Lonchura striata: one gene and its partners. The protein of the gene in region 1 interacts with the protein of each later gene in a biochemical or structural test. Links are inferred from orthologs where the notes say so. Each region holds a gene or a part of one and is shown in the gene's direction. Other genes may lie near its edges.

Evidence for each region.
Region 2: the proteins of UBE2B (region 1) and UBR1 form a complex in vitro, tested with the Homo sapiens proteins (2 studies listed by BioGRID and IntAct, with this or other methods). The link is inferred for Lonchura striata from reciprocal best matches to the Homo sapiens genes UBE2B and UBR1.
Region 3: the proteins of UBE2B (region 1) and RNF20 form a complex in vitro, tested with the Homo sapiens proteins (4 studies listed by BioGRID, with this or other methods). The link is inferred for Lonchura striata from reciprocal best matches to the Homo sapiens genes UBE2B and RNF20.

What each region holds. Positions count from the first base shown.
Region 1 is NC_134617.1:9,520,431-9,530,262, reverse strand, and holds the start of UBE2B (ubiquitin-conjugating enzyme E2 B), read left to right. Parts: upstream 1-4,187; 5' UTR 4,188-4,254; coding exon 4,255-4,298; intron 4,299-7,289; coding exon 7,290-7,370; intron 7,371-8,044; coding exon 8,045-8,070; intron 8,071-9,104; coding exon 9,105-9,194; intron 9,195-9,832. UniProt on the Homo sapiens protein: E2 ubiquitin-conjugating enzyme that accepts ubiquitin from the ubiquitin-activating enzyme E1 and transfers it to a E3 ubiquitin-protein ligase. In vitro catalyzes 'Lys-11'-, as well as 'Lys-48'- and 'Lys-63'-linked polyubiquitination.
Region 2 is NC_134608.1:35,938,985-35,948,816, forward strand, and holds the start of UBR1 (E3 ubiquitin-protein ligase UBR1), read left to right. Parts: upstream 1-3,694; 5' UTR 3,695-3,758; coding exon 3,759-3,830; intron 3,831-9,832. UniProt on the Homo sapiens protein: E3 ubiquitin-protein ligase which is a component of the N-end rule pathway. Recognizes and binds proteins bearing specific N-terminal residues that are destabilizing according to the N-end rule, leading to their ubiquitination and subsequent degradation.
Region 3 is NC_134642.1:59,174,885-59,184,716, reverse strand, and holds the start of RNF20 (E3 ubiquitin-protein ligase BRE1A), read left to right. Parts: upstream 1-5,197; 5' UTR 5,198-5,302; intron 5,303-5,331; exon of another isoform or gene 5,332-5,458; intron 5,459-8,192; 5' UTR 8,193-8,244; intron 8,245-8,760; 5' UTR 8,761-8,802; coding exon 8,803-8,931; intron 8,932-9,055; coding exon 9,056-9,223; intron 9,224-9,340; coding exon 9,341-9,488; intron 9,489-9,832. UniProt on the Homo sapiens protein: Component of the RNF20/40 E3 ubiquitin-protein ligase complex that mediates monoubiquitination of 'Lys-120' of histone H2B (H2BK120ub1).

The sequences.
Region 1 (9,832 bases):
TTCTTAATGAAGAATATTAAAATAGAAGCTATGTGCTGGTCATAAGGAATGGATAAGATAACCAAGAAACTCTTTGCATAGAGATAACAGCAACAAGACAAAAAAAAAAAAATCCTAAAACAAGATTTATTGCCTCTTTATCAGACCATACAGCCTTCTTCCAGGCACTCAGAGACAAAAGGAGCTCCAAGGATGGCCTGTGAAAAATGCAGACTAAATGGCTGGCTCTTCACAAATATTAAATGGAATACTATATGTGTTATGTTGGAAAGTTATTTTGTAGTACTGTATTCATCCTTTTTATGTAGTGTGCTAAATATAGTTTTAGATTATAGCATAATGTTAAAATAGAAGCTATATGATGTAAATATTCTTCATTATTGTAAATCTTCTTAATGAAGAAAATTAAAATAGAAGCTATGTGCTGTTCATATTTTTGTGACCAGCATAAGGAATGGATAAGATAACCCAAGAAACTCTTCACATAGAGATAACAGCAACAAGACAAAAAAAAAAAAAAAATCCTAAGACAAGATTTATTGCCTCTTGATCGGACTATACAGCCTTCTTCCAGACACCCCAGAGCCAAAAGGATTCATCTATAAGATGAGGGGAGGAGCTGACAGAAAAAATTCCTAGTTTGAAAGGAATATTTGCATCATGTATGAGATATATAAATATGCAACAGGCTATTGCTTTTAAGAGTTAATCCTTTGTTAGCGAGCCATGTTTTCTTGAGGAAAGCATCCAGACGTCCGTAATTCTTTGCTTTTTATTGTCCTTTATTGTCCTAGCTCTGATTGTCGAAATTCTTATTGCCCTAATTTTTATTAATGTTTTTTTATAACTATTTTATTACCATTAAACTTTTAAAACTTTTAAACAAGCGATTGGCGCTTTTCACATGGGAGAAGCCTCTCAGCCAGCTCTGCTGTCCCTCTCCCATGGCTGGGTGGGGCTGAGGACACGCAAGAGCTCCGGGATGGAAGCAGCTCCAGCAGCTCCCAGGCAGGACACCAGGAACTCACCCAGCTCACACACATCCTCTCATGATGGGTCAAAGTTACCTTAGAAATTGTTTTGGTTTGTGAAATGCTGCACAAGGATCTAGTACTTACTCAAGATTAATATAAATTGTGCTGTAAAAAATTAAATTATTAAAATTATGTTGATATTTAAAATCATAAAACTATAAACCAAAATGTATTAAAATATTAATATTTTTAAAATTATAAAAATGCCCTATCAAATGGCATTAAAAAAAATAGAAATAAAAATTGAACTTGAAACAGCTTTCTGATCAGGAAGTTGTTATAGCCATCCCAGTATTATTTAGGAATGAACACATTACTTTCTGTTCTAGACCACAGATTGTGAAAGGATTTTTTCCAAGTGTTTGAAGCACTGTTACAGTGGATAACTTTAATGGTTGCACAGGAAAAAAAAACCTCTCCAGGAACCAAATGACAAAGTTAGTATTGCAATTGTTCTTTCCACTCATCAATGGAAGTCAGTGTGTTACAAGTACATGATAAATTGAAAACATTCGAACTAAAATGCCCATAGTGACATTATAATGGCAGTGATGCATTTAAGTTCATTAGGCAAGGAAGTACTAGAAATAATTATCACCAGATACAAATCTAAAGTGGATATTTAGTGCAGATTTCATTTTGAGACATATTAAACCACCTTTGCAAGGCCAGAACCTATATTTTATGGTTAGTTGGGACTGATTGCTACACATGTTACTGCCAGGTAGGATTAAAATATTCTATTAGATAACATCAATACACTGTTCCTCAGTGGTGTCAGAGGAGAATAAATATTGTCCCTGATGAGACATTGCTGAAAAAGTTCCCAAGCCATGTGGAAACAACAAGGGATTTCAGATTCAATCCAGCTTGGTGCTGCTGTTCAGTTTTTTGTTTATTTCCCTGCACAGGCTGAGTGTGACTTGGGCTTCAAAGGCAAAGAGCTGCCCTGGGCACAGGGGATGCCCTGTCTGGGCTTTGAAGCAGTGCCTGCTAATACTGAATTAATCAATGTTGTTGTGACCTTCATTTTGTGTACAGGTCCAAGCTTGCATTGGTTGTCACAGATTGCTTTCTCCCTCCCAAGTTAACAGGAGTGAAATAAAAGCTGGATAAAGGTAAAGGAGCAGCAGTGGAATGAAAACTGGAACGTGTGTGGTGGGAGGATGAGGAGGAGGAGGAGAGTCCAGAGGAGGGGATTGCTTGCCAGGAACCATTCCTCACTAGTGTGGGGAATAATGTTTTAGTGGCTGGGGTATTATAGTTTCTTATTACCAAATCTTTTGGAAAAGCTTGCTCCCCTGCAGTACCAGGCTTTGTGTGAATTCCTCACTTTTGCCATCTGACTGTTTTCACTAAGGTGGGACATTGGATTAAAGTGGTCTGAATAAATCTTTGCAGAGTTAAATCCCACCCCATGTGAAATGTGAATTCAACTTATAAATAACCCAGTCAGTGGTGCTGCTGCAGCAGGGCTGGCATTAACTTGGTGAAAAGGCAGTACTGAGCTTTGTGCTGTTAAACCCTGGGCTGATGCTGTTCCACCACCTGGATGGCTGCAGGCAAAGGGAATGGACAGGCAGTGTTTATTTCTGTCATTTCATTATACGTCCCATGATGGTTTGACCTCCTTAAAATCATCTGGAAAAAAAAAAAGCAGGGAGGCACATGTAACCACACAAATCCAAGTTCAGGGATAACTTCCAAGACTGCTTGTAAGAACTGGGTCACGACTTCAAAGAGACCTGCTCTGTCTGTTGGAGTAATGGGATTTTTAAAAAGGGCTGAGAGCCAGGACATCAGCCTGTATTTAGAGGGAACTTCGAGAGATGCTGAGAGGCCCATATGGCAAAATGGACCATTATCCCTAATTAAAATTTGATAAGAACTAAATTTTTAAAACCTCCAGTTACTGCAAATAGTGGGAGTGGGCTGAATACACAGCATAGAAGCAAGACTCGAAATGTACAACCTTGCAATCTGACCACGACTAATAGTTTCTGTACTTTGCAGACGTTCAGCTGATCACAGTGAGCTGGTGTGTCTGGCAAGGAGAAAACCCCACCGGCCCCACGCGTGGGCTGAAACGCCCGGGCAGCGCCGGGCTGGGCACTCCCGGCTCCTCCCGGACCCTGTCCCGGCACTCCTGGGGTGCCGCAGTCCCGGCTCTCTCCCGAGCCCTGTCCCAGCCCTTATCCCGGCAGTCCCGGCTCTCTCCCGGACTCTTTCCCGGTCCCAGTCCCGGCTCTCTCCCGGACCCTTTCCTGGCTCTCTCCCGGTCCCTTTCCCGGTCCCAGTCCCGGCTCTCTCCCAGACCCTTTCCCGGCTCCCTCCCGGACCCTTTCCCGGTCCCAGTCCCGGCTCGCTCCCGAACCCTGTCCCGGTCCCTGTCCCAGCAGTCCCGGCTCTCTCCCGGTCCCTTTCCCAGCTCTCGCCCGGTCCCTTTCCCGGCTCTCTCCCAGACCCTTTCCCGGCTCCCTCCCGGGCCCTTTCCCGGTCCAGTCCCGGCTCTCTCCCGGACCCTTTCCCAGCTCTCGCCCGGTCCCTTTCCCGGCTCTCTCCCAGACCCTTTCCCGGCTCCCTCCCGGACCCTTTCCCGGTCCAGTCCCGGCTCTCTCCCGGACCCTTTCCCGGCTCTCTCCCAGACCCTTTCCCGGCTCTCTCCCAGACCCTTTCCCGGCTCCCTCCCGGTCCCTTTCCCGGCTCTCTCCCGGACCCTTTCCCGGTCCAGTCCCGGCTCTCTCCCGGTCCCAGTCCCGGCTCTCTCCCGGACCCTTTCCCGGCTCTGTCCCGGACCCTTTCCCGGCTCTCTCCCGGACCCTTTCCCGGCTCTCTCCCGGACCCTTTCCCGGTCCAGTCCCGGCTCTCTCCCGGACCCTTTCCCGGCTCTCTCCCGGTCCCTTTCCCGGCTCTCTCCCGGTCCCTTTCCCGGCTCTCTCCCGGACCCTTTCCCGGCTCTCTCCCGGACCCTTTCCCGGCTCTCTCCCGGTCCCTTTCCCAGTCCCTTTTCCCGCTGCCTCTCCCCAAACTCCGCCGAGCGCGGAGCCGCGCGCACCCGCCTCCCCGCGCACCCCCCGCGCGGCGCGATGGTGCGGTCCCGCCCCCCCCGGTGCCGCAGTGGTGCGGCCGGCGCGGCCCCGCCCCGCGCGCGCCGCCGCCATTGCGGGTTGTTTGTGCGGGCGCAGCGGGCGCGGGCGGGAGGCGGCGCCGCGGCTCCGCCATGTCCACCCCGGCGCGCCGCCGCCTCATGCGCGACTTCAAGAGGTGAGCGGGGCCCGCACACGCCGCTGCCCGCGCCTTCCTGCCGGGCCCGGGGCTGGCCCCGAGCCGCCCGGGCAGGGGAGCGGAGTGCCGGGGGGAGCGGGGGCAGCGCCGGCTTTGTTCGAGCCGGCTCGGCCGGCGCCGACGGCTGGGGGCGTCTGAGGATAGAAGTTGGAGCTGCGAGCGGGGCGGGCCGGCAGCGCCCGCGGGGCCGGGGGCGCCGGGCTGGCGGGGGGACGCGGGCTCGGCCCGGCTCGGCCCGGCTCGGCCCGGCTCGGCTGGCACGGCCGTGCCCGTCCGCCCGGCCCGCCACCCGCGGGCTCCGGCTGTGGAATGGCTCGGCCGGAATTCAGAAGCGTTCCAGGCTTGCTGGGTCGCAGGGTCTCTCTGGAAAGAAGTTCGTAGCGATAGGCACCTGGAAACGAAGCGCAGAGAATTGGCGAACGCTTCGTTTGTATGTAGTAAGAGCCAAAATGACCTTTTGTGTTTTTATGCACAATCATGTGATACTGTGTTTAAAGTTTGCAATCATGAGGAGTCTTGTGTAATATATGCGAACTGCTAAAGGAGCGCTTATTAGTTGCACTCTTTTAAATGTTAATGACTGAACCACTGACTCTGGAATACATTATTTCCAGTCTGACACGTAAACATACTTAGAGTGTGGAAAGGGGTGGGAGGTTTCCTTGTAAGATGTACAGTAAGAGTTCTCCAGGCTGGGTCACTCAGCAGTAGTTGGAGGTGAGTCAGCTTTGATAGTGTCTCTTTTTTTAGCATGGCTATGTTATACCAGGCCCTGCGGACACATCAGTTAACACTTGACGTGTATTGTAGTTGCTTTACGTGGCTGCACAACAGCAACAGCGACAAAAATCTGATTCGTGAATCCAGAAGCAGTAGGAGGTTTTTGGGAAGTGGAGCCCTCCCCTGCTGTTTGTGCGAGTGTTGGTGTTTGTTAAGTGGGTGTTGCTTGATTCCTGTTCAAATCAAAACAGGATATTCAGACTTTTTATTGTATTTGGTTACACAGATGAATCAGTGATTTTTTTTTTCAGGCTGACTACCTCAATTTTTCAAGATTGCAATCAGATGTGGGTTTTATGCTTTTGTATTCCTACAGGGACTGGTTTAATAATTTTGGAATTAAGGCTCGAGAGAAGACTCTAAAGCTGTGGAAAAATATAACCAAGTAGACAATGTAAATCAAATCCATCAGTCATATATTTAGCGGCTTTTATATTCCAAAACTTATGTAACTTTTTCATATTAGTTTTTGTTTTACTCTGCTCTTCTGTGCTGCAAGTTGTGTATTTGTTTATGTTATTATACTTCATACTGAAAGAACAGACGGTGTGCTGTGAACTCTGATTCACTTCAATAAATACAAACTGCTTTTGCATACTGTGATTGTCAGGAGCAGTCAAGAGAGAAGAGTTCAGCAGATTTCTTACCTCCTCTAATTTGTTTGAATAAACCAAAAGAAATAAAAGGTTATTTATTTACTTTGCTGATAAAAAGGGCGTACTAAAACCACATTTTCCCTACTGTTTAGGACTTTCAGGATTAGTCCTATTTGCAGTCCTTGCCAGATCCGTTCTGTAGTTAGACCCTGTGACAAGTAGGGTGCACACATGCTTTGAAGTTGATCTAAAAACCAAAGTCATCTCCCAGATGCACTTGGCAGGCTAACACTCAGGCATTGCTGCTGGCCTGCAGCCTGGCTGTCACGTAGGAAGAAGTCCTGTTCCTGCTTTCCCTGACCAAAATAGTAGGTGGTTTATGCTGCTGATATTCAGCGGTCTGGACTGTGTGTGCTCAAAGAGCAGAGATGTAAACACAGAGTTTAAAGGGGCTCTGAGCAGCTTCAGGGCCCTCAGCATCTTTGGACAACACACGGTGTTACCCCAGGCTGAGGCAGGGCAAGTGCAGGGAGGGTTGCCTGGCTGTGCTGCTGACAGCTCTCAATAAATCTGCATATGGCATTTAGTGAGAATTTGTCCCTTGGTCTGCAGAGCTTTTTGTAGTGACTTGTTTATAAGTGTGCTGTGATATTATCGAGCCACATGGTAACACTCAAGAGTTGTTTGTGACACAAGGGCAGTCACTGCATTTTCCTTATTGGATAACTCCGGAGGCAAAACAGGTGAGGGGAGTAGGAGCTGTCACTGAGGGGGTTTGAGCAGGTGGATTGATTGGGGCCTGCTGGTGTACATTCATCAGGGTCTTGTGATCCTTAATATGGAGCAGTGATGGGCAGGGGGGGCATTTGGATCCTGCCCTCTGGCTGCAGTACATATTTCTGTTAGTGAAGCTTTCAGTAGGTAACATGCTTTTCCCTAGTCCGAGGATTAAGGAACTAAAAATAATTTCACATGTTCCCGTAATTGCTTTAGAGATAAACACGTTTGTGGGACTGGTAAGAGGGGGTAGCAGCACACAGGTTTCCCCTTTGCTCCCTTTTGAAGCAATCAGCTTGTCAGTTGAAATAGGCTTATACCAAATTTAGCCACTTGTCATGCATGGGTCTGGGTATGCAGGAAAAGCTCCGCTGACGGTCCTTTGCCTTGAGTCCCAGCAAGAGTGCTCTGTGTGTGTGTGTCACTGCCTGGATTTCAGCTCCTGGTTGTGGCTGCAGCTTGTTCTCCAATTCACTGTGGCAGCCAGCAGCAGTTGCTCTCTCATAGTTCACAGTGTAGCACCATAAATCCCAGCTGTCCGGGTGCTATAAGTTATTCTTACAGCTAATCCTTTGCTCCCTGAACACCTAATCAGACCTCTTGTGCCCTTGTGTCTCCATGTAAAACACGAGAAAATCTTGATGTGTGTTGCCTTGTAGATCTGTCTTTCAGAGTGTTGATAATCTGCATGTAATGCTTTGTGTATATTCTAATCTAGAATGAGAAAATATGTATAAAATGTGGATATTACTGGTAAATTATATCTGCAGGTGGAAGTATTTCATATATATGACTTGTGATTCTATGTAATTCTTAGATTGCAAGAAGACCCTCCTGTGGGTGTCAGTGGTGCACCATCTGAGAATAACATAATGCAATGGAATGCAGTTATATTTGGGTAAGTTTTTATCATTATGAAATTCGGTATTAGAGGGCTAAATATGATAACCTGATATTTGTTTTTAGTTATTCTCTTGTTTCATGTGTGTAAAGTCAGTAAACTTAAAAATGTCCAAAACGGGGAATGGTTAGGAAGGAAAAAAAACCTAAATTTTTAATTTGTTTAGCTTTGTTGTTGAATAAAGCTTGCATGTGGCTTAATAAGTAAGTTATACTGTGTTATGAAAAAGCAGAATTCCTCTTTAAAGTACATAAGTGCCACATGTTCTCAGCCATTAAATCCAGATGTATTAGTGATTGAAATGAATCCTAGTAGGACAAGGTGCAGGATCTGTCTGGGAAGTTACATTATGTATCCTGTGCAAGAAGAAGTGACAGTATCCTTTCCTAAAACTGAAGTATGCTTGCTAATAATCTGCTCATTTGTTCCAATCTAGTCACCTAAAGGCATGTATATTGTTTGGGATGATGATAAAGTAGATATCCCAAATAGCAGGTGTCTAGATACAGCAAAGCTCTCAGAGGTTACCTATGGATGCTTCTCTAATAATTTAAATTATTGCTTCTGCCTGTATCTTGGAGAGGATGAGAAAGAAGATACACATCTATTGTGCCTGTGTGGAAGTAGGTAATGATCACTTTTAACTAGAGTTTCTTTTTAAAACCTTTCAGGCCAGAAGGGACACCTTTTGAAGATGGTAAGTTGCTAACTTTTGTATCCTTTGTCATTCTAATAAATGTTGCCGGTATGAACATCGTTCTGCTTTTGAAAAATAATAGATGTTATCTGTGTATAATTTGAAACAAACCAAGTAAGTGAACCCATGAGGCTTGTTGGCTATAAAAATGTGTCTTGAGCTAAGCAGTGTCTCATTACACTGGCTCATGGTTGGTTAGAAAGCTACGAAGCAATGCTTCTATCAAGGCTTTTTCATTCATGCCCACAAGAGCTTTTAGCAGGGTTTATTGGACTTACACTGCCAGGTGTGTTTGCACATCTCTTTAGCTGAGCTCAACAAGAGCTTTTCTCATTTCATCTGTGGCATATTTGATTCATCACTGTTCTCCTAATGAAGAACAGGTGAGAAACCTTTAGGTGTTCTCAATATAGAACTCAGTGAGGTTGAGGGAATCCCAAATTTGTACATAAACATGAAAGCTAGTGTGTAATGACCCTCCCTTAGGCATATGAGGAATAATGAGTTTAATAATTATAGTATTATTACAGTAATTGGCAGCAGATGGGTTTTTCTCTGTGTTGGGTTGGAGGAATTACAGTAAATTATTCACTGATCCATAACAAAGGTTTTCAGTGAATAAGTTTTGAGCTCCAAAGACTGAGATTGCTGATTATGAAATTCCAGTGTTTCTTTGATGGCACCACAATGCCTTCTTAATGAAACGCCTTAAAGTCACCCAAGTCCATGGACCCAGCATACCTGGGTCGTGGAAAAGTGGGATAATGTTGGATAAGGCTGCCTTTGCCATGTATGCAGTGAGTCTCCAAGCTCCTACCCAACCACTACTGCAGGGTTTATTACTATAACCAGTAGTTCCATAGTTGCATTATCCCTTGAAATATATGAAAAGCAATCAGATTCACTGTTGCTTTTTTATATAATGGTGAGGAGAAATGCTGGTCATGGAGCACATAAATTAATTTCTTGTCTCTGTTCCTGGATATAGTCTTTTGTTGTTAGTTATCTGATTGTATTTATCTTTGTTTGGACAGGTACTTTTAAACTAGTAATAGAATTTTCCGAAGAATATCCAAATAAGCCTCCAACTGTTAGGTTTTTATCAAAAATGTTCCATCCAAATGGTGAGTAAACCATCTTTATTTAGCTGTAATACTCAATAAATATTACAGTGTGGTCATGCATTCTCTGAAGCTCCAGAATGCTTAATCTCTCTTCACTGCCATCTCCTAAGTATATATCTAGGACAGCAACTGCTTGATGAAAAATTGAGAGTTATGATGCTATTAAGAAGCAGCTATCTGCCTCTTAGTAATCAATATGTAGCCTCAGTAGCAAAGCCTGTGAGTATTTTCAGCAGCAGCTGCACTTAGGTTGGTTCAAAGAGGCAGTTCTGGCTGCAGATTCCTGCCCCTTTCCATTTAACAGCAGCCGTGTCTGTGCAGCCACAGCATGAGCTGCAGGGAGCTGCTGGGGCCAAGTGTTAATTATTCCCTGCCAGGTGAGGTTTCACCCAAGTCCCTGCTTTCATCTGGTGCTCTGTGCCTACCAGGACTAGCACAGGGAAGAAAATGAGGATGCTCAGTTGTAGAGGAGGTGTCTGACCCCATCTCATAGATGAAAGCAGCGATGAAAGTGCACTGTGCTGCCTCCCCCAGCACTGATAGGTTTTACTGAGTGCAGAAAAAGCCTGCCTGCTGCTCCTCTGTAGAAATTATGCCTCACATACTGTGCAGGCCAGTTTGTCTCTGCCCCAAGGTCT
Region 2 (9,832 bases), on another chromosome or scaffold:
TACCTCTGAGGAGGTGCCCCAAAGAAAGGAATCCCCGGGCTTTTATACCCTCAGAGTCTGAGAGCAAGCAAGTCTGGGGGTGATGGGCTCCTGCCGTCTCTGAGTGCCCGGTCCCCAGGCCGGGACACAGGTCCCGTGCCCCGTGCTCTTCGCTGTGCAAAGGATTTCGCAGGTCCCGGCCTTTCGCCCCCAGAGCTCAGGCTGCAGCTGCACACCGAGCTGCCGGCACTCAACATACTCCTCAACGCGACCTTTCGGGCAGCCTGGCCGAACACCTGTAACTGGGCTTGACCGCGCGCCGCCGCCGTGCCCGCCGCTCGGCCGCCCCTCGCCCGCCCGGCCCCGCTCACCTGCACGACCCAGAGCAGGCTGGCGGCGGCCGCCCCGGGCGCGGGCTGCGGGGCCCAGCGGCGGCGCGGCCCCGGGGCCGGCGGCGCCGCCGGCGGCCCGTACCAGTCCAGCAGCAGCGCCACGGCGGCCGCCGCCAGCAGCCCCGCCGCCAGCCCCAGCATCCTGCGCCGCGCCGCCACCGCGCCCGCCCCGGGCGAGCCCTGCGCCGCCGAACCCGGCACTTCCGCGTCCACCTCCTCCGCTGCCGCGCCGCCCCGCGCCCGGCCGCGCTTGGCTCGGGGGAGCGATGCCGCCGCTCCCCTTGTGCTGGAGCTTCTATCCGGCGAGGCTGGGGGATCCCGGCTCTGCCCCCGCTCCCTGTGCCCTGAGCGTTCCTGCTTTCCCCTCCAGCCGCAGGGCTGCCTGGAAATGCCTGGGTTAAAGCAGAAGGAAACCCAGGCGTACGAAGAGATCCGTATCTCAGCCTGCTTCCCTACAAATACAGCATGTGAACTTTGGCTTTTTCTCGTTACGGTATTATAATTCTACCTGCTCGGAAATCTAGGCAGTTGACCTATTTTGATCCTGACAGAAGTATTTTTATGGTATTTTGAACATTTTAATATATATATATGTACACACACCATTTAAAACCTTGATATAGTAACCGAACAGTTTCATAATTGCTAAGTTATTCTTTGCTATCAACTCAGTTTACTAACTGCTGCCCATTTACTGTTGAGATTTTTTTCTTCCCATCTTAAGTATGAGTTCAGGTGAAAAAGCTCCTGTCACTTCACATCACTCTTTGTTATTTATCATAATATTCTCAAACAACTTCAGGTATTAGAAGTTTCTAATTCAGTATTATTTAATTGTAATTATATTTTCTCATGTAATTTCTCATAGGACAAAGATTTAAATTTTAGCATTGATAATAAATAGCATTGATTGATCGGGAAAAAAACATTTTTCAGCTCAGTTAGACTGCATTAATATGACACGTCTTTTTAGATGTTCTTCATAATTTAGTTACTCTTTTGCAGGACTTCATGTATGTTTGCTTTGTTTTTTTTTCAGCTGCCTTTCATCTTGTTTGTCTACTCTTTCCCCCCAACAAAACACCCTGAAGAAATGTTTCTAAATAAACATCAATCAGCAATCCTGTCAATCTTCAGAAGTAATCTGGAGAACTAGGGCTTTCTCACTTTCTTCCTGAAGCTCTACCATTTTATTTTAGCTCTAGCAAGGCTGTCAATTATTTTGTCTGTATTAAAATTGATCTGAATTCCTGTTTTGTTCTTCTTCTTTCCTCTATTACTGTAGTATCCATGGAGATCTTGTTTGGTGCCATTTCTGCCTGGGCAATGGTGCCAACTTGTTTTTTTAAGAGGTTTACTGACACTTTATTTGCTGTCTTTTAGTGCATGTGGGTTCCATTTTTTTAATAATAATTTTTTAAAGTAAGTCTAACAGTAAATCCTGTTCAATTAAAACAGTGATTTACATTAGCATACCTTTTGAAGTCACACAGGAAAGCAAACCCCCACTGACAGCTAAAAGAGATAGCCAGGCAAACTGCTTGCCTTGCAGCACAGGGGGCTGCAGGCAGCCCTCCTGCTGCTTGACTGGGTTTGTTGCTGGAATTCTGCCTTGCTTCTCTTGCTCGACTACATTGGAAGCTGGATTATATAATTGCTAGTGTTGATGCCAAAACAGGTGAAGGACTCCAGTAATCACAGTCCAAACTTAGTTGTTGTGCAAACAACACTTCTGGTTAGCGGGCAGCTGTGCTATTGGAAAGGATTGGGCACCAATTAGCAATATGGACAGACAGAACGAGATGAGATTGTTGTCTCATGGCAAAATTCAATTTTTATTTTTTACACCTCATACCTAAACCTGTCTCAGTGATGGTGATTTTAACTGACAGATTTCAGTAATTAAAGAAGTCTGCAGGACTTCTTAATATGAAGATGACTGGTAGCTGTGGCAGAGGAACTACATTCAGATTTCTGAAGATATAAGAGAAGAACTTTGAGAGTACTTGTGGCTGGGTACAGCACAAAAAAATCATTGGATATACCTGAAAAGATCACCTGTAAGCTTTATCCCATCCATACTTGTCACTGTCGAGGCAGGATGGGAATGAATAGACTTGACTCAGAAGGCTGTGAAAGTAAGACTCCCCTTTATTCAAAATACACTGCTCTTTTATACAAAGCTTCATGAGGACCAAATCCATTGGTTCTGAAATGAAAACAACCCACCACCATTGGTGCAAAGTGCTTGACGCACAGTGATAGAACTTAACTATAAACAATGTGAAAAACAAGAGAGATAAATAATTATTTACATTCTTTTCCAGCTCTTTCCCAGGCTTTTTGCCTGGCTAGAAACTCTCAGTTTCTTTCTTTAACTGAATCTGAGACCCACACATACTGATAACTGAAGAAAGTGAAAAAGCTGTTTGGAGGCTTGAAACAGGAAGACTACAGTGGAAGAAGGCAGTCTTCCCAATATCCAAGATATCAGGCATTCAAAATGGACCCCAAGATCCAATGCTATGGCTATTTGCCTATTTCCTCAGCCTTACGAAGGTGGAAACACACGGAATTGTACAACTGGACTGCAACAATCTGGAAAACTTCCAGCAATGCATAGGCCATGTTTGTCACACTTCAATCAAGATCCTAAATGCCCTAATCTGCCAAATCTGCTAAGCACCCAGAACAGTTTTGATACGCTGTTGGAAGGAGGTGTGGAGGAAAAATTTTGATCTTGGAGATCCTTTGGTCTTTAGGCATTTGCCTAAAGCTACTGTTGCTTCCTACACCAAGTTAATAAAATTTTCCCTTTGCTTAGCCCATGTGGGAACCACATGGAAGTGACTTTGCACCGTGTAGATGAAATTACTTGCGCTATTATCTTGCTAGCAATGAGGGGACATAGTCCCCTGCACCACTGGAGGTTTAGGTTAGATATTAGGAGGAATTTCTTCACCGAAAGGGTGATTAAACATTGGAATGGGCTGCCGAAGGAGGTGGAGGCAGCGACCCTGGAGATGGTATAAGGAAAGACAGGACATGACACCCAGTGCCACGGGCTGGATGATAAGGTGGTGTTCCGTGGTAGCTTGGAGTCGATGATTTCAGGTCTTTTCCAGCCTAATGGATTCCGTGGCTCGGCGATGCAGGGCGCGAAGCGGGCACGGTTTAAGTGCCTGCGGGGACCCGGCCAGCAGGAGCTCCGCGCGCCGGCCCGGCCCGCGCCGGGCTTCGCGCGGCCTCCCGCAGGGGGCGCTGCCGGGGCCCCGCGCGGGGCGGCTGCGCGCGGGGCGGGCCCTGGGCCGCGGGCGCGGCGCCCGGTGACGGCGGCGGCCCCTTCCGGCCGTCACGGCGCCGCCGGCCGCGTCCCTCGCTCTCAAAATGGCGGACGGAGCCGACAGAGGTCCCGCGGCGGGCGGCCGGGCCCCCGCGCAGGCCCCGGAGCGAACTATGGTGAGGCTGCGGACCGGCGCCGCGCCGCGCTTCCCTCTGCCCGCCCTCGGGGGCAGCCCGTGCCCTGCCCGCGCTGCCGCTCGGCCGAGCAGGGCAGGCTCTCCGCGGCTGCCGAGCGGCGCCGTGGAGGGCCGGGACGCGCCGCTCTGCACCTGCCGTAGCCGGCGGGAGGCTGCGGCACCACCCGGGGCGCGGCCTGGGCGCCGGGGCCGGAGCGGGCGGCCCGGTGCCCCCGCACGGCGGCGGGCGCGGCTGCGCACCGCTCCCGGCGGCTGCGCTGGCTGCGGCTCCGGGCTCCCGCCTGTGCCCCGGGAGCGGAGAGCCAGCCGTGCCCCGGGAGCGGAGAGCCAGCCCTGCCCCGGGAGCGGAGAGCCAGCCCTGCCCCGGGAGCGGAGAGCCAGCCGTGCCCCGGGAGCGGAGAGCCAGCCGTGCCCCGGGAGCGGAGAGCCAGCCGTGCCCCGGGAGCGGAGAGCCAGCCGTGCCCCGGGAGCGGAGAGCCAGCCCTGCCCCGGGCCCGTGACCCGGGCCCGGCCAGCCGCTGTCACGGGCCCGCGGGGGAGCGGTTTGGCTCGGTTCCCCGCAGCATCTCTCAGCCCCTGTCCTGGATCTTCTGTTGGCACCTAATGACGGAATTGATTGAGATCAAACTTTGGAAAGCTTCAGAGCCGTCCTTTAAACGTTGTACTGTAAATGTGCATTTTAACCATAGTCCTTTACCTTTCTTAATTAAAGGTGACTCTACTGTGGAACAGAAAAGGCAGAGTAACAAATTACTGTTCTATATAGTGTGTGGAGCAGCAAATAGTAGCATTTAGAAAGAACATAGTATAATTTAGAGGGAAACAGTTGTTTGTTGAACAGGAGTATTGTTTCTTTTTTCGTTCTGCAAAATAATTGTCTATGGACTTAATATTTTGTTATTGAACACAATTTGTTGTTGACCCTATCTAGTGGTAGCACGTAAGTGCCTTCTGTGGTTTCCTTCACAAACTTGTATAGTGCATTACTATGTTTGAAACACTTTATCTAGAGCAGCTTAAAACCCAAAAGCTGACAAGTTAAGAAAGGAAGGCAGATGGATGTGTATGAGGCACTTTACATTTTATGTTCTATTTCCTGTAACAGTCTGCACACATAGTATAGTTTTGATACTGTTGACTGCCTGTGTTTAAAAGTTGGGTGCTGGCAAGCCTGTAGAATAGCTGCTGTTTACATGATGCTGCACACCACTAATAAAAATAGAAAGATGTTTACTCATGGAGCTTGTCTTGCATGTGGCAGCAGTAAGCCAACAAAGATTATTCCTTGTACCCTTCTCAGAATTGCAAATCATTAGCAATGGCCCTTTAGTCATGGACTTTATTCTTAAGTGCTGTATATTTCTGTAACTGAAACAGGCCTATGCGTGGAATTTTTTTTAATCAGGAACAGCCTGATTTTACAATAGGAAAAATGTGACTTGATTGCATAGTGTCAAAAATTGCGTCCCAAGACAGGCGATTTCTTAAGCTTGTGAGCTGTGCATAAAGCCAGTGGTGCTGAGGGTAATAGTGGCAATCAGCAGCAAAGCAATGCGATCAGCCTTTCATTAACTGGGGACTTCAGAGGCTGAGTTAGCCCAAGCAATCCATGAAACTAAGAATTGCTGAAGGGATCCTCAGCTGCTCAAAGGTGATGCTGGTCCACTAAGTTGTCTTAATTTTTGTGTGATTTCAGACAGTTGAAAGTGTCTGGACCAGAATTATCATTATTCCGAGGAAGGTAGTTGGCCATCCAGACCATGTTGCTTGCCATACATCCAAGCAAAATGCAGGGATTTTGACAGCGAGTAGTGGCTGAGGATGTGATATAAAAAGGGAGAAGCAGAGCTTGGGATACGTACTTAGGTTGTGTCTGACAGCATTTGTGATGTTAGACAGCAAACCTGGCTATAGTGATGGTAGAGACAGTTGTAATCTGGAAGCAGTACACCCAATTTATTGCTGTCTTGAAGATGGTACTAAGTAGGTAGAACTAATATATGAACTAATATATCTTGCCTGACTTGTGCTTTCACTGTGCAGAGCTATTCTGAAAGTTACTGTGGTGCTAAAATTGGAGTTGTGTGGAGTGGAAAGAACTGGTTAAATAGGGTGAGCTTTGGCCTCACTGAACTCGTCAAAGCTGTCTCAGTGTCTGAGCAGTCAGACAGACTCTTGCTCCTCTGTTGGTCTCTGGCTTTGGGTGCCATTGGCTGCAGTGCAGCACCACATCTGCTGCAAACCTTCCCAGAGTGCTGGGTTCATGGTGCAGGTCACCTGAATGATTCTGCAGGAGCCAGCCTGATTCTGGAGTGGATGGTGGTGACTCAGGTAATAAACTCTTCTGCGCCCAGCCCAAGTCAGTGGTGTCTTCCCTGCATTTATCTGCAGCGCTTCAGGTTGGATGACTGTGGTTGAAAGTACTTAACTTGATGTTTCGCTGCATTAGTTGGAAGTCAGGTCCTGTCTGTTCTTCTGCTTCTTCATAGTGGCTGTATTGCTTCCTGAGCTGCCCTGGAAGAGAGTGGGTTGAATTTAATGCTGATTAAGTAGCAAACCTTGTCTACTAAACTCGAGTTTACTTTCTTTCCTTTCCTAACAGCATCCACAGTTTACTTGGCTGGCTGATGGGCTGGACTTGGCTTGTCCAGTAGTTGGCTAGCAGGCATTACTGGTGGCCTGACAAAAACCAGCTTTGCAGGCTGGATCCAGCCCTTGGTTGGCTGTCCATTTGTATTCTAAACAAATTCCGGTTTGACGCCTGCCTGCTTTTGCATCTGCTACCTGGAGCAGGGCTTTGATATTAAGCTGTTGCAAGGATTTAAAATTTACACTGAATCTTCAAATTGTCACATATATGTACCTTCTCTGTAATATTTGTGAAGAAAAGGGATTTTTTTAAAGGTTCGTTCTTTTACCATTAGTCAGAACCTAACAAAATTTGAGATATAAGTGGTGTGCAGGAAGAGAAAAGCTTGTATTATTAGGATATTACCTTTTAAGATAGGAAATTTCCAAATTTCAGTTTCATAATGTGAAGTAGGATGCAGGCACTTGTGCATTTTAGGATATTTCAGATCTTTTGTGTCATTCAGTGCTGTAACATAGTTGAGAAAATGTATATGAGGAGACCTGCTACTGGAGGGGATATTCATATTCATATGCAGGTTATTTCTTGAAATTAGTGAAATCTGAGTCAGGTCTCTTATTTGGAATTGCAGTGTCTTCTAAACTGAATTGACCTGCTTAGACCAGATGACATGTTCATATAATTTTACTTTGTTAAGCTAAATCTGTTTAAACTTTCAATTTAGGTAAGTCATCATATCCTTTATTGTAACTGTTCCCTGAAATGCAGATGGTCAAATTGCTGTATTTAGAACAGTGCAGCATATTGGTAGAACAGTATTTACTGTACACTTGTGTCAGTGTCCAAGAAATGGTGTGTTGTTATCTACCAAATGCAGGTTTCACCAAAAAATTTGGAACATGAAAAGGTGATTAGATTGCATGCCTCAAAGACTTGAAAATTAGTTGCAGAATTCCTGACCATTTTGCCTGTTGAACCTACTTAGTAGTAGTATCCTGCTAATTTTGCAGCATATTTAGGCTGGAGTGTCCACTTGGTAGGGAGGTACAATAGAGGTACCTCCTGCATGGTGGAGAGAGCCACAGGCCATGTTTGACTCCAGTTGTCCCTTGGGCTGCAGATTGCTTTCAGGTGCCTACTCCCATGAGCTGCAGCTGGGCTCTTGTAGTTTTGGAGGTGCCTGTGGTTTAAAAGTCACCTGCGGTTTCCAAAAGGTTGAGCAGCTTGGGTTGGTGCGTTGCTTATCCTGAAGAAGACAGTAGTTTTAGCTGTCCAGCAACTGAAACAGTAACAGGTGGTGCTGGTGGTTATTTATCTTTCTCTGGTGGTCACCAATTTGCTCTGGGTCAGCTCAGGTGGTAGGCATTGGTGACTGCTGGAATCAAGGCATGTTGTACTCTAGACAACTTCAGTAGTCTGTGCTGGTTTTGAGTCTCATTCCAAGTGGGCAAACACCTGCATCATTAAAGCAGCTTTTGACATGAATTGGCACCCTGCTTTGGCTCAGGGGCCAAAGTTAAATGACTAAAGAGATCAAAAAGTTATTTTATGTCTTCAGGTCAAAGTTGATATTTTGTTAGGACAATGTTAGACAGTCTTGAACGTTATCCATGTTGTGCCAAGGGAAAAAAACTTCTGAAACTTAACTTCCTTCTTTTAGTGTAATCACTGATATCTAGAGCTGACTGGATACTAAAGTTTGGTAGTATGGTTTGGTTTTTTTAGCCATGTTATATAAAGGAGCTGACAGATGGATCAGAAAACAGATATTTTGCATTTGAGTTCTAAACAGTAATTTTTGCAGCTTAGATTCTCTACTAAAGCATTAGTTGTGCTTTGTTGGAAAATGTGAAACAACAATTCCTGTTATGAATGTGACAAAACAAATAAAATAAGTTTCTGTTTTAACTCCCTGAACTGTGCCCTTCCAGAGATAGGATTTATACTCCTAAAAACAAAGTTTGATTTAAGGCAGGGAAGAAGAATTATGTTAATTTCTAGTGTTTACTTTTGAAGCCTCTTCTTTGTGGAGTATGTTTGAGGCTGAAATAGATTGCCTTATCTTCCTGTTGTTTTTACTAAAAGTAATGCCTAGACGTTCTGTACCCTAGTTGGATCTTATTCTCAGTGCATTAGAAAACTGGTCATTTTAAACCAAGATAATAAGAAGGAAAAATGGAGCCAGAACTTTGAAAGCAGAACCCATATATGAAAATTAATCCTTTGAACTTTCCTTTTCAAAGTAATTTTAAGTATTCTGCCAACTTATCAAAGAACTTGTGCATATTTATAATTTTAGAATGTTAGATGTTTCCTCAATTAGTTAGACAATATCAAAATAAAGTTTTCTGGGATACTGTCCTGCTAATCTCTGTTTAATTTGTACAGGTGTTCTTTGCCTTAAAGCTGCCTTTTGCATTTGGTATTTATGTTGAATGGCACCTGCTTGAAATCAGTATGCCCCCAGCATTTTAAATATTTACTTTTAAAAGCCTGGTTTTTCTAGTTGCTTTGACAGACAGCTGGTATTGTCATCTCGTGCCTGACAGATTTTTGCTATGCATAACAAAGTATTTTACTATTCCTTTTAACTGTAGTGCTGGACCAAGTACAGGATTTAGTTCATGCTACTGGTAGTTTCTGTTCCTTCATATTTTGTTTTTTAATGTTAATAAATATTTATATTCCTTTTCACTGATTAGATTAATGTACAAATCTAAAAATAGCCTTGAAATTTAGGCAATCACTTCTGCACTAAAAGATCAGCTTGTTAATCAGTGTAGTTAAAGTATAGCTGTTTTTTATAATATTGCCTCATGCAAGCTGTTAGTTTGCAAAGACTTCAGTGTTCCAAGAGAGCTGTGCTTAGTAAGTAGATGAAAAATTGTCATGGAAGCAACAGCTACTGAATTAGTGCGCATAATAAACCTCTGCAATGATAAGAAAAATATTCTTCTTGTTTCTCTTATGAGTATAATGAGTATTTCCTGGGTAACATACAGGCTGAGCATATATTTTTGTGTTCTTACCAGAAGGCAGACAGCCTGCCTGAGAAAGTTCTTTTGCTTTCCTTGTTCCTTCTTCTTTCCTACTTCCTGTCCTCTTTTCTTGGAACAACATTCAAATAGAATTAAAAGCTTTGCACAAGAATGCTTGAAATGCTTGTGAGTTTGACTGTGTGAGAACCCATTTTACACTTCTGGCAGATTTTCAGGGAAGCTTTGCCCTGTGTTTCTTGAAGCTATGATGTGCTCTGGAGCAACAATGCAGAAGCTAAACTTGTACCATCTCTTGGGAACCTGGGTCATTAAGATAGAAAGGGACAGAGTGGGATTCTCTTGTGCTCTGCAAACAGTGTGCCATAGGGCCCCATCCCACCTTCCCACATTTAA
Region 3 (9,832 bases), on another chromosome or scaffold:
ATAAATACAATATTGAGGATAACCAAATTACATAGAGTGGCAGTGGCTTTCTCTTTGGGTTTTTTTTTTTTTTCAGACTCAATATTGATCACTGGGACAAAAAGTGTTCGCTGTCCTTTGCCATTTACTGGAGACATAATGAACTTATATGTCAGAGACACTGTGTTTAACTTTAGACAGCAATAGTCAGAGGAAACACAGCTCCAGCAGGAATGGATTCCTACTGGCTTGGCTGTCTAGGGTACGTTAGTATTCTCTAAAAAGACTGAAGTATTTTAATCTTATTTTCATCCTGGTCTGTGCATTTGATTTTGGTTCTTTTCAGGACTAACCACCCTTCATATATTTCCCAAGTCTTCCCTCTACAAAACCTCCGATATACAACCACAGCCAGACTTTTTCAGGCTCTTACCAATAGCTAATTGATCTTGCAAATGAATTATTAAATCCTGTTTCTGTAATCTCTTCTACCCAAGCTGCACACATCTGAAGATGACAGAAACATACTCACTGTAGTCCAGTTCACTTTAGAGACTACTGGGCACCCCTCCCCATCACACACAGCCTTTTTCTATGCTTCTTTAGCTTCTTCAATCAAACCATTAAAAAAGGCTATTCATAGCTAAAAGAACACCAGAGTGAGCCAACACAGAAATGTATTAAATTATCATGGAACTGCAGAAATACTGCAAGCCTGGTGACACTCAAGAGAACTAGATGCACCTTGGCCAGTTTAGCGGCATATGCTTTGGTGATCCAACCTCCTTCCCATCTTGCTCCAATGTTCTGACTCTTGCCGACCATAGAGTATTTCTAAGAAAGGGACAAACATTTTAATTTAGACATAAAGTCTAGTGGCTCTTTAAAATATCAGTGTTAAATACATTGATAATAATAATAATAATAAATAATGTTAAAATACATTGGCTCTCAGTTATTTGCTTTGTTTTGCAACATAGAAGAATGGCCTGGAACAGTGTACTTTGTGCTAAAAAAAGATGCTGATGCTAAAAAATGAGAATGAGGTGAAAAGGCAAACCAGAAGATTTCTAAACTGAGAGTTAGGAGGAATTATCCCCCAGGGATTGCTGGAAAACTTTTACTTTCTCTTGCAAAATGAAGTAATGTTATTTTGTATGGTCACTGGGCACTTTTCACTAGTAAACTCTGCACTCTGTCAGAGGCACAGAGTGCTAGCAATTTCTCTGCTTTTGCTAACTGCAAATTTTAGGAGAGTGCTTCTGGAACTAAAGGTCAGATGCTGGCATGAGAGAAGTGGCCTGTCTAGGAAAGTCTGAGTACCATTTGTACAAGGTTTTAACTACACAAAGATTCTCAGGAAAATTGTGTCAAATATAACTATTTTAAAACTGCTTCAAATCTCTAAGGGGCAGCCTTATTTGAAATTTAAGAGGTTTTGATTCAGTTTAGCTGAATGGTGTTTTGTTATTCCACCTAATAATGGATGTAACATGGAGGCTCAAGTATTTCACTCCTAGTTAATATTTTTAATTCATTCTGGTAATTTTTTTTGTTTGAAAGTCTTAAGGTTAAACTTAAGCAAGATATAAAAGTCTGTGACTAGTCCATGATCTAGAAGTAAAACCTGCTATAATGACATGAGCTACATTGGCAAGGATAAGGCTGAAGGGTTTGATTAGAGATTCTAGAATTGATTTTGCGAATTCTGTAATTTTCACTGCTGAGTAATTATTATCTTCAAATGCAGCTTGTTTTCTTTCTCTGGTCTCTAAATGCACCAGTAAAAAGCTTACCAGGATTCTGAAGAGCCTGTCTTTAAAATTCAAATGCATCTACTGCAATTAAATAAGTTTGGATAGTTGTCATAAGCTCCTTTACAGGAAACTCTTCATATCACTATTTTCAGGACTATTTCTATTTGCTCAAAGGAATCCTCTGCACAGACAGCAAATTAAGGTGGTGTGGTGCCAGGACAAAAAAAAACCAAAAGAGAGTGACTGAGGGAAAGGGAAAGAGACAGTAAAGCCTGTGCTCTGTTTCCTGGGCTTTTCATTTCTCCTTATCACTATGGCAGCTGGGCAGTGAGGCAGCAAGACAATCACTAATAATCCCTGCTGAGACTTTCCAGCCTGGGTTTCTCACTGACTGAAATCTTTCATTCTGTCTTTTTCAGATTGCCTGCCAGGATGATCTGGGTGTCAGTGGAGTGAGAGAGCTTCTTCAATTCATACACATATTCTCCATTTAGCATTAAGTGTTTCACTACAAGAGGAAGACAACTAGGGTAGGAACATGACAAAACAAAAGTAAGTGAGAATTTTTGTGCAGCATATATAAGCAACTGAAACATTTCTATTCAAGTTCCTTCTGGTCAGGTGACAATGGAATTTCTTTACTACACTTGGGCAAAATAGGATCAGTGTCTCTCTCCCCAGATGTGAGTCATAAGTATCCTATTATGCTACTTAGGAAAGAAGAACTATCCAATTCTAATAACAATAACAATAACAATAACAGAAAAAAAAAAAAAAAGTAATGCAACTTCTTTCAATGGAAAAGCAAGAACTCACTGCATTGGCTACAGCTCTATGTGTGTTCATTTTCTTTAGTCAGCTTGTCTGTCAAGAGAAAGACATCCCAAATAACATAAACAGCAATTGTTGGCTGGATCAAGGATGCTGTGGAGTGATACGTTTCTGTGTGATCTGATCCACTGAGTGGATATCATTAGGTAAAGTACCTGATCTTATCAAATGCAGTTCCACTGTTGGCCCTAATTGATGTGAACCTTGCACAGCACCCTGCAGCACCACCCTTCATTCCAGTTCATGCCCACAGCAACAACGTAGACTACTTCACAATACCTGAGAAGAAAACCAAAAATTATCCTATTTTCAGAGCACAACCTTAGCTACAATGGTATGTTTTATCCTTACCTTACAATGAAGTAAGGATAAAGTCATGTCTAGAGGAGAGGACACCAGAACAATCCTCAAGGACAAAATTTTGAGCAAGGACTGAAGCTTTGTTCTTCAAAGCTTAGCTTTTAAAATTAATCTTGTTGCTGCTTATCACACTTTGGTAACATGAAAGTGCCTCTTCCACAAATAAGCCATTAAGACAGGGATGTCTTTTAAGACACTGGTGTTTCTATCTTTGCTTCAAAGCACCAATGATCAAAATAGCAGGACAAGATAGAATCACTCTGCCTGTAGCCAGTGTATGAGGAAATTAAGGGGGGTTAGGAAGCTCAGTACAAGCCCTTCATCCTATTTATTTATCTATTGTAATTGTTTTTAAGAAAAAAGCTACATTTGCTGTGAAGTCAAAGACCTGTACACACATATGGCAGGTCTGGTACTTTTATTTCGAAGTATGTTCCACTAATACGCATTTTAAATTTTTTTTTTTTTTCTTTCTCTGACTTTTCCTTCCTTTACTTCACCTCTATGATCTGATCTAGAAGGCACGGAATAGATGTGCCAGCTGACACAGGACTGAGGGCTGTGTTTCATACCTGCTCTTCTGGGTGCCTGGCACTGCATTATCACAAAGTAACTGCTATGGCTCCAGTTAACAACCCAGTTAATGAAAAGGCTCATTTGTGTGCTGACACAAAAATACATCTTTACCACAGAAATATTGATGCACATGGCTTTTCTCCACTGAATTTGGAATCCAGTTATCTCCTCTAGGGTAGTTAGTCTGCTGTGAGCGTTTTGGGTACTGTTTTACTTTGCCCAGTTACTCGTTGCCTGTAGATGTCACTTTTCCACTTTATAATCTTAGACTGGCTGCTTCTTATGTTCTTGAGCCCATTTTTTTTTTTTTTTTTGTGCTTCAAAGCTCAGCTTTTAAGTGTGCTTTCCTTGAGTGTGCAACCTGCAATCCCTTTCTTCATCTGCCATTGACAGCACCTGTGTTGACTGGCCAAAGCTCTTCTGTTCCCATCTTTGGGATGAATCTGTGCTCTGCTATTTCTTCAGGAGACTCCAGGCACACAAATCTTCTCCCAAAAGAGAGGATTTCCCTCTGCCCTCCAGGTGAGAGGGCTCCCAGACCATCTCCCATAGAGCCTTTCCTCTTGGAAGCAGCACAGTTCTGCTGGATCAAAGATAATTTTAGGTACTGTCCTGGGTATGCTAAAGCTCCATATTTACCTGTATATTTGCAAACACATCTGGGTAATACATGAATAGTTCACAATGCTGTGTCTCCACCTCCCACCTTACCAAAGAGGATGCATTTCACACCCATGTGTTGGGCTTTCATAGCAAATTTGGTGGCTACTACTACTCCTACAACTTGAGGGAAAGACAGTGTTTGAGGTTTTGTGGGTCTTTTTAATTTGGAATAGGGTTTTGGAACAGGTAATGGGTGATGCTCAGCCTGGTCACAAGGCTGTGCACTTCTTGGTTATAGGAGTTTCAGTCCAGCCAGGTCCCCTTTAGTGGCCACAGTCTGAGCATACCAACACTGCAAGCTCCAAATTGTCTCTTTTCTAGGCTTTCTTACACAACTTTTTTATTCAGTTCATGTCCAGGTCTCCGGTGGTTTTCTTCATACCAGGCTCCCCTCTGCTTATGCTAAGAACATGTGCACATTCTTTCCAAGAAACACCCAGCTTCAGTCACTTCACTTCTTACCAACTGTAATTTTGTAAAGTGTTCAACTCTTCCTTGTAGTAATGGCAAGTGAAAGACTACAAGGTTCAGGAAAAAGCAACCGTATTTGCCATATTCCTGGTAGACTAAGTAATTGCAAATTGCTGGAAGACTCTCTGCAGTTCCTCTGCACTAGCATTGGATTGCTTGGCTCTCCCACTTTCTTCAAAAAAGAATCTCAGTTATTAATACAAATATTATGAATCCCTCTCTTTCTCTCCTCACCACTCAGATTTTTTCTTGTATTTTTTTCCCTCATCTGCTGTTCTGTCTCTGCATAATTCACGCAGTTAATCTTTAAACAATACTGAGGAAAGCAGAACATTCTCGCTATTGGAAGGGAGCAAGGGTGTGGCCTCTCCAGTGCCGAATGCAGGGGGACGATCACTGTCCTGGCCCTCCTGCCACACCATGGCCAGGACAGACCATTGATGTTTTGCCCACATTCAGCATCTGTGACGCCCTTGCCCCCCGGTCCGGCCGGGACACGGCTCCATCCCGGGTCGGGCAGGGAGGCGGCCGCTCCGCCGGGGCCGCGTGTGGGCGGGGGAGGCTCCGCCCGCGCCGCCATCTTTGGTGCGGGTGAGGGCGCCGGCGTCTGGTGCCGCTGCGGTCCCGCCATGTCGGGCGAGGGCAAAGTGGCGCCTCCATGACGGGTGAGGGCGAAATGGCGGCCGGAAGGGGCGGCGGGGGGCGGCCATTGCTGACGGGACGGGGTGCGGCGGCGGCGGAGGAGGAGGCGGCGGTTACGGCAGCGACGAGGCGGCCGCGGCGGCTCTGTGGGGACGGCCGGGGCCGCAGAGAGCCGGGAGGTGCCGTGCGGAGGACGGAGGGGGCGCTGGGGGCTGCAGGCAGCGCACACCCGCGGAGGGAGGGACGGGCCCGCGGCGTGTCCGGCTGGCGCTGTGGGGAGGTGCCGGGTCAGGGGCAGGACCCCCGCGGGATGCGGGAGAGCGGAGGAGCTCTGGGAGCGGCTGGTGTGTGGGGAAGCTGAATCGCAGAATCGCAGGGTTGAGATCACCCTGTGCAACCCCCTGCCAAGGCAGAGTCACCTGGAGCAGGTGGCAGAGGAACACATCCACATGGGCTTGGGATGTTTCCGAAGGGGAGAGTCCTCGATGTTTGGGGAAGCTGCTCCAGTGCTCTGCCACCCTCAGTGTTTTTCCCCATGTGGAATTTTTTGGGTTTTAGTTTATGGCCACTGCTCCTCATCCTGTTGCTGGGTAGCACTGAAGAGTCTGAAACACCCTCTTAGTACTCACCTTGGAAATAATTGTGTGCATTAATGAGATCCCCTCACAGTATTCTCCAGACTAACCAGGTCCAGATATCACAATCTCTTTTTATAAGACAGATGCTCCAGAGGCGTCATCATCTTTGTGGCTGCCACTGGACCCTCTCCAGCAGCTCCTTGTCTTTGTACTGAGGAGTCCAGTCCTGGACACAGCACCCCATCCATGCCATGCTAGTGCCAAGCAGAGCAGAGGGTTGGAAGTTTTCCCCTTTCTCCTCCAATGCTTAAAATATTCCTGCTGAGTCTGATCTGAAGCCATGGAAAAATCCTGTTAGGCTTGTGGATGGAACATTGTTTGACTGGAGTTCCTGCTGGGGAGTATAAACTCAAATAATAGTTTTAAAATCTGCCCAGTGCTTTTATTTCTGTTGTTCTGTGTCTGTACATAAATCCCGGTTTATATGTGTGTAGTGTCTGTAGTATAGTTCCTGTACTGTAGCAGGAACATCAGGTGGTGGCAGGTGTAGTAAAGGTTTTTGATTTAGTTGTAAAATGATAGTAAGTAAGAAAAGAAAATGTAATTTGAGTTTCAATTGATAGGGCTTGTAATCAGAAATCCACCTGGTTTTTTTTAAGTAAATACAGAATGACTGAGTACAACTTACTCTGTTAGTTAGCAGAGCAGATCAGCAGTTCTGTGTCAAGAAGGAAATAAATATGACATTCAAAGAAATGTACATTCATGATTAGAGTTCTTTACCTCTTCTGTGTGTGAGCAGCAGAAAGGATTGTCAGGCACTGGAAGGGCCTTGTCCAGGGAGCTGGTGGGTTCCCTGTCTCTGGTTGGATGTGGCACCCAGTGCCATGGTGTGACTGACAGGGTGGTGTTGGTTCATAGGTTGTACTCGGTCTCAGAGGTTTTCCCATTCTAAATGATTCTGTGAAAGACTGGGTCTGTGGCCATAAAAAATTAGTGGGTTGGGGTCTTGTGTACAGTGTATGAGGAGGTTGTGAGAGGGGAGCTGGAGCTGAGAGGGGTGATGCCAGGAGGCAGTGGAAGGGGTATTTTGTCCCTGGACAAAAAGTGTGAAAGGCAGTGAGCAGTGCTGGCTTGCTGGACTGACAGGGGACAGATGAGATGTTTTTAGTGATAGCTGTTCCCTTCCAATTCTCTTGGAATTCCACCTAAAGTCAGAGCTGCTGCTAAGAGAAGGAAAATGGTTCAGTGGCAGTTGTCTTTCTTTGTAAATTTGAGATGTAGTTTAATGTTTCTGTTAAAAGATACCTCACAGGATCTGTGCTGTTTCAGTAACTCAGAAATAATTTTTATACTATTTTGCATATGATGAAGGGCACTGCCAAGCTGAGATGCTTGTGAATTGCTGAGATTTGGCAAAGCAGTGTACGATCTTCATCTTCAAAACACAATGGCCTTGTGGCTTTCAGTCGAACTGCTCAATTAAAGCAGGTAGGAACTGGGAGGTTCAGTTCATAACCCCTAGTTTGACTGTAAATGCCATTATAGGCTTAAATGGAACAAGTCAGGATTTACTGGTACAGTCTGCACTTCATTCACTTCTGGTTTCATTCAGTCTAGAGGCTGCCACAGCACCAGTGGCTGTGGGAGAAGACTGCAGCTCATGTCTAGTGAAGATTGGTTGGTTCCATGTTTCATCTCCAGTCACTTCCATTTGTATTGTAAACCTTTTGAGGATACACTTGTAATTTTGCTCAATAATATTATAGGGAACTACAGGAATTACTGTTCAGACATGAGAAAAGCCTTTTTTAATGTTAAGGATGATCAAGCACTAGAGAGGCTGCCCAGAGTCATGGCTGAGTTTCTGTAGCTGGAGATGCTCAGGTTGCCTGGACAGGACCCTCAGCAGGCCCTGCACTGGACATGCTTTGGCTGAGCCTGCTTCATGCAGGGCACAGGGCAGGTGGCCTCCTGTCTTCCCTTGCAATCCCAGCTGTTCCGTGATTCTCTAGTAGTCCAGAGCTTTTCAGACTGGATTGACTTAGGAGTAGGTTCTCTTGAAAAATGTTCACATCTCTCCTGGTACACAGCAAAACTCTTGGAATGGGTCTTTGCAAGCCTTGGCTCCAGGTTGCTTTTCAGTTCTGTAGGTTTTGTAAGCTCTCTAAGTACAGAGGTCATTTATTTCCAGGGTGTTGCTACTCTCAGCTTTGACTGGCTTTGTGTGTAGATTCAATAGGAGCAGTTTGGTTGTTGTGCAGTGAACTGGTGCCACATCCACACTGTCTCAGTTTTTTCCCAAGTCTAACCTGACTCATTTTTGTTAATGCAGAAAAGCAGAGAGTGAACCTGGATGAAGATTTTTTTGCAAAGAGGGTGATAAGGTACAGTGCTTTTATTTTAATGTTACAGTGCTGTGGATATTTTCCCCATGAACTTTCTGCTTGCAGTGCAGATCCTGCTGGTGTCTTTTACTGCTAGTGTTGGACCAGAATGTGTGAGTCAGCACAGGCTGGCACAAACTCCCAGTTAAAACACACGGAATAGATTTATTTCCATTACCTTGCTACTTGTGGGATCTCTAAAGCAACACCTGGGCGGAGGTGCAGTATTAGAGATATGGGCACCCTTAAACTCAGCCTGTGCCTGAGGATCATGGACTTGTCAAGGGTTATTCCCAGCTGCAAGGTCACTTGAATGATTTACAGTCCTCCTTACCAGTCTTCCACATTTAATCCATTTCTTCCAACAAATATTTTTCAAAATCTTTCTGGTTCCGTGATCTTCTCTGTTTTGGGCATTTTATTACCATAATGGGTCAGCATGTTAAAAACCACAAATAAAATTGACCGCATGGATGTGTATTTGGTGTTTTTTAAATAGCGCTCTTTAATGTTCAGGGAGAACTTGGAGAAGGTGGGAATCTTTACACTTCAGCCACCATGTCTGGAATCGGCAATAAACGGACAGCAGGAGAGCCTGGCCCTTCTGCACCTCCAGAGAAGAAGGCAGGGGTTGAAGATTCAGGCACCACTGTGGAGACCATCAAACTCGGTGGTGTTTCTTCAACGGTATGTCTTTCTTGCATATCCCCTCTCCACCTTTTGGTTTTTTTTCATCTGGAGGCAGAAATGTCTCTGGGGTCAGGTTGAGCCTGTCTGTGACCTGGCCTGTATGCCATATGCCTGTGCCCAGGAGGAGCTGGACATCCGGACCCTGCAGACCAAGAACCGGAAGCTTGCAGAGATGCTCGACCAGCGCCAGGCCATCGAAGATGAGCTGCGGGAGCACATTGAGAAGCTGGAGCGTCGGCAGGCCACCGACGATGCCTCTCTGCTGATCATAAACCGGTACTGGAATCAGGTTGGTAACAGCTTTTGTTACTTCATATACAGTTTTCTTGTCTCCCTTGTATCACTGCAGTCCTTTTGTTCACATCCATTCTTTATCTTGCCTTGCCTTGCCTATCCCATCATTCAGTTTGATGAAAATATCCGCATCATCCTGAAACGCTTTGACCTGGACCAAGGTCTTGGAGACCTCTTGTCTGAAAGAAAAGCACTGGTGGTGCCAGAACCTGAACCAGACTCTGACAGTAATCAGGAGCGCAAAGATGAGAGGGAACGAGGTGAGGCAACTGTCTGGGGACAGTGGGATTTCAGCTATGGACAATGCTGATGCCCATTTCTAAAGGCTGTCTGTCACTATAGGCCACGAGAAAGCAAGACGCGTACTGCTGCTATTATAAAGGTAAAAAAAAGGAAGTTTATTTTCTGACTCCAGCATTTATAGTTTTCCAAAGGTGACAGTGGATTGGAGGGTGAAAATGGCACTTCTCCAACAACACTGGACAAGCTACCAATCTATCAAATTTCTCTGCCTCTATGAAGGAATGCAAAAATATTACGTTATTTACAGAAAGTGTGTGAGAAAGTTTGCTACAAGAATGTAAACTCAGAAGGCTTTAGTAAA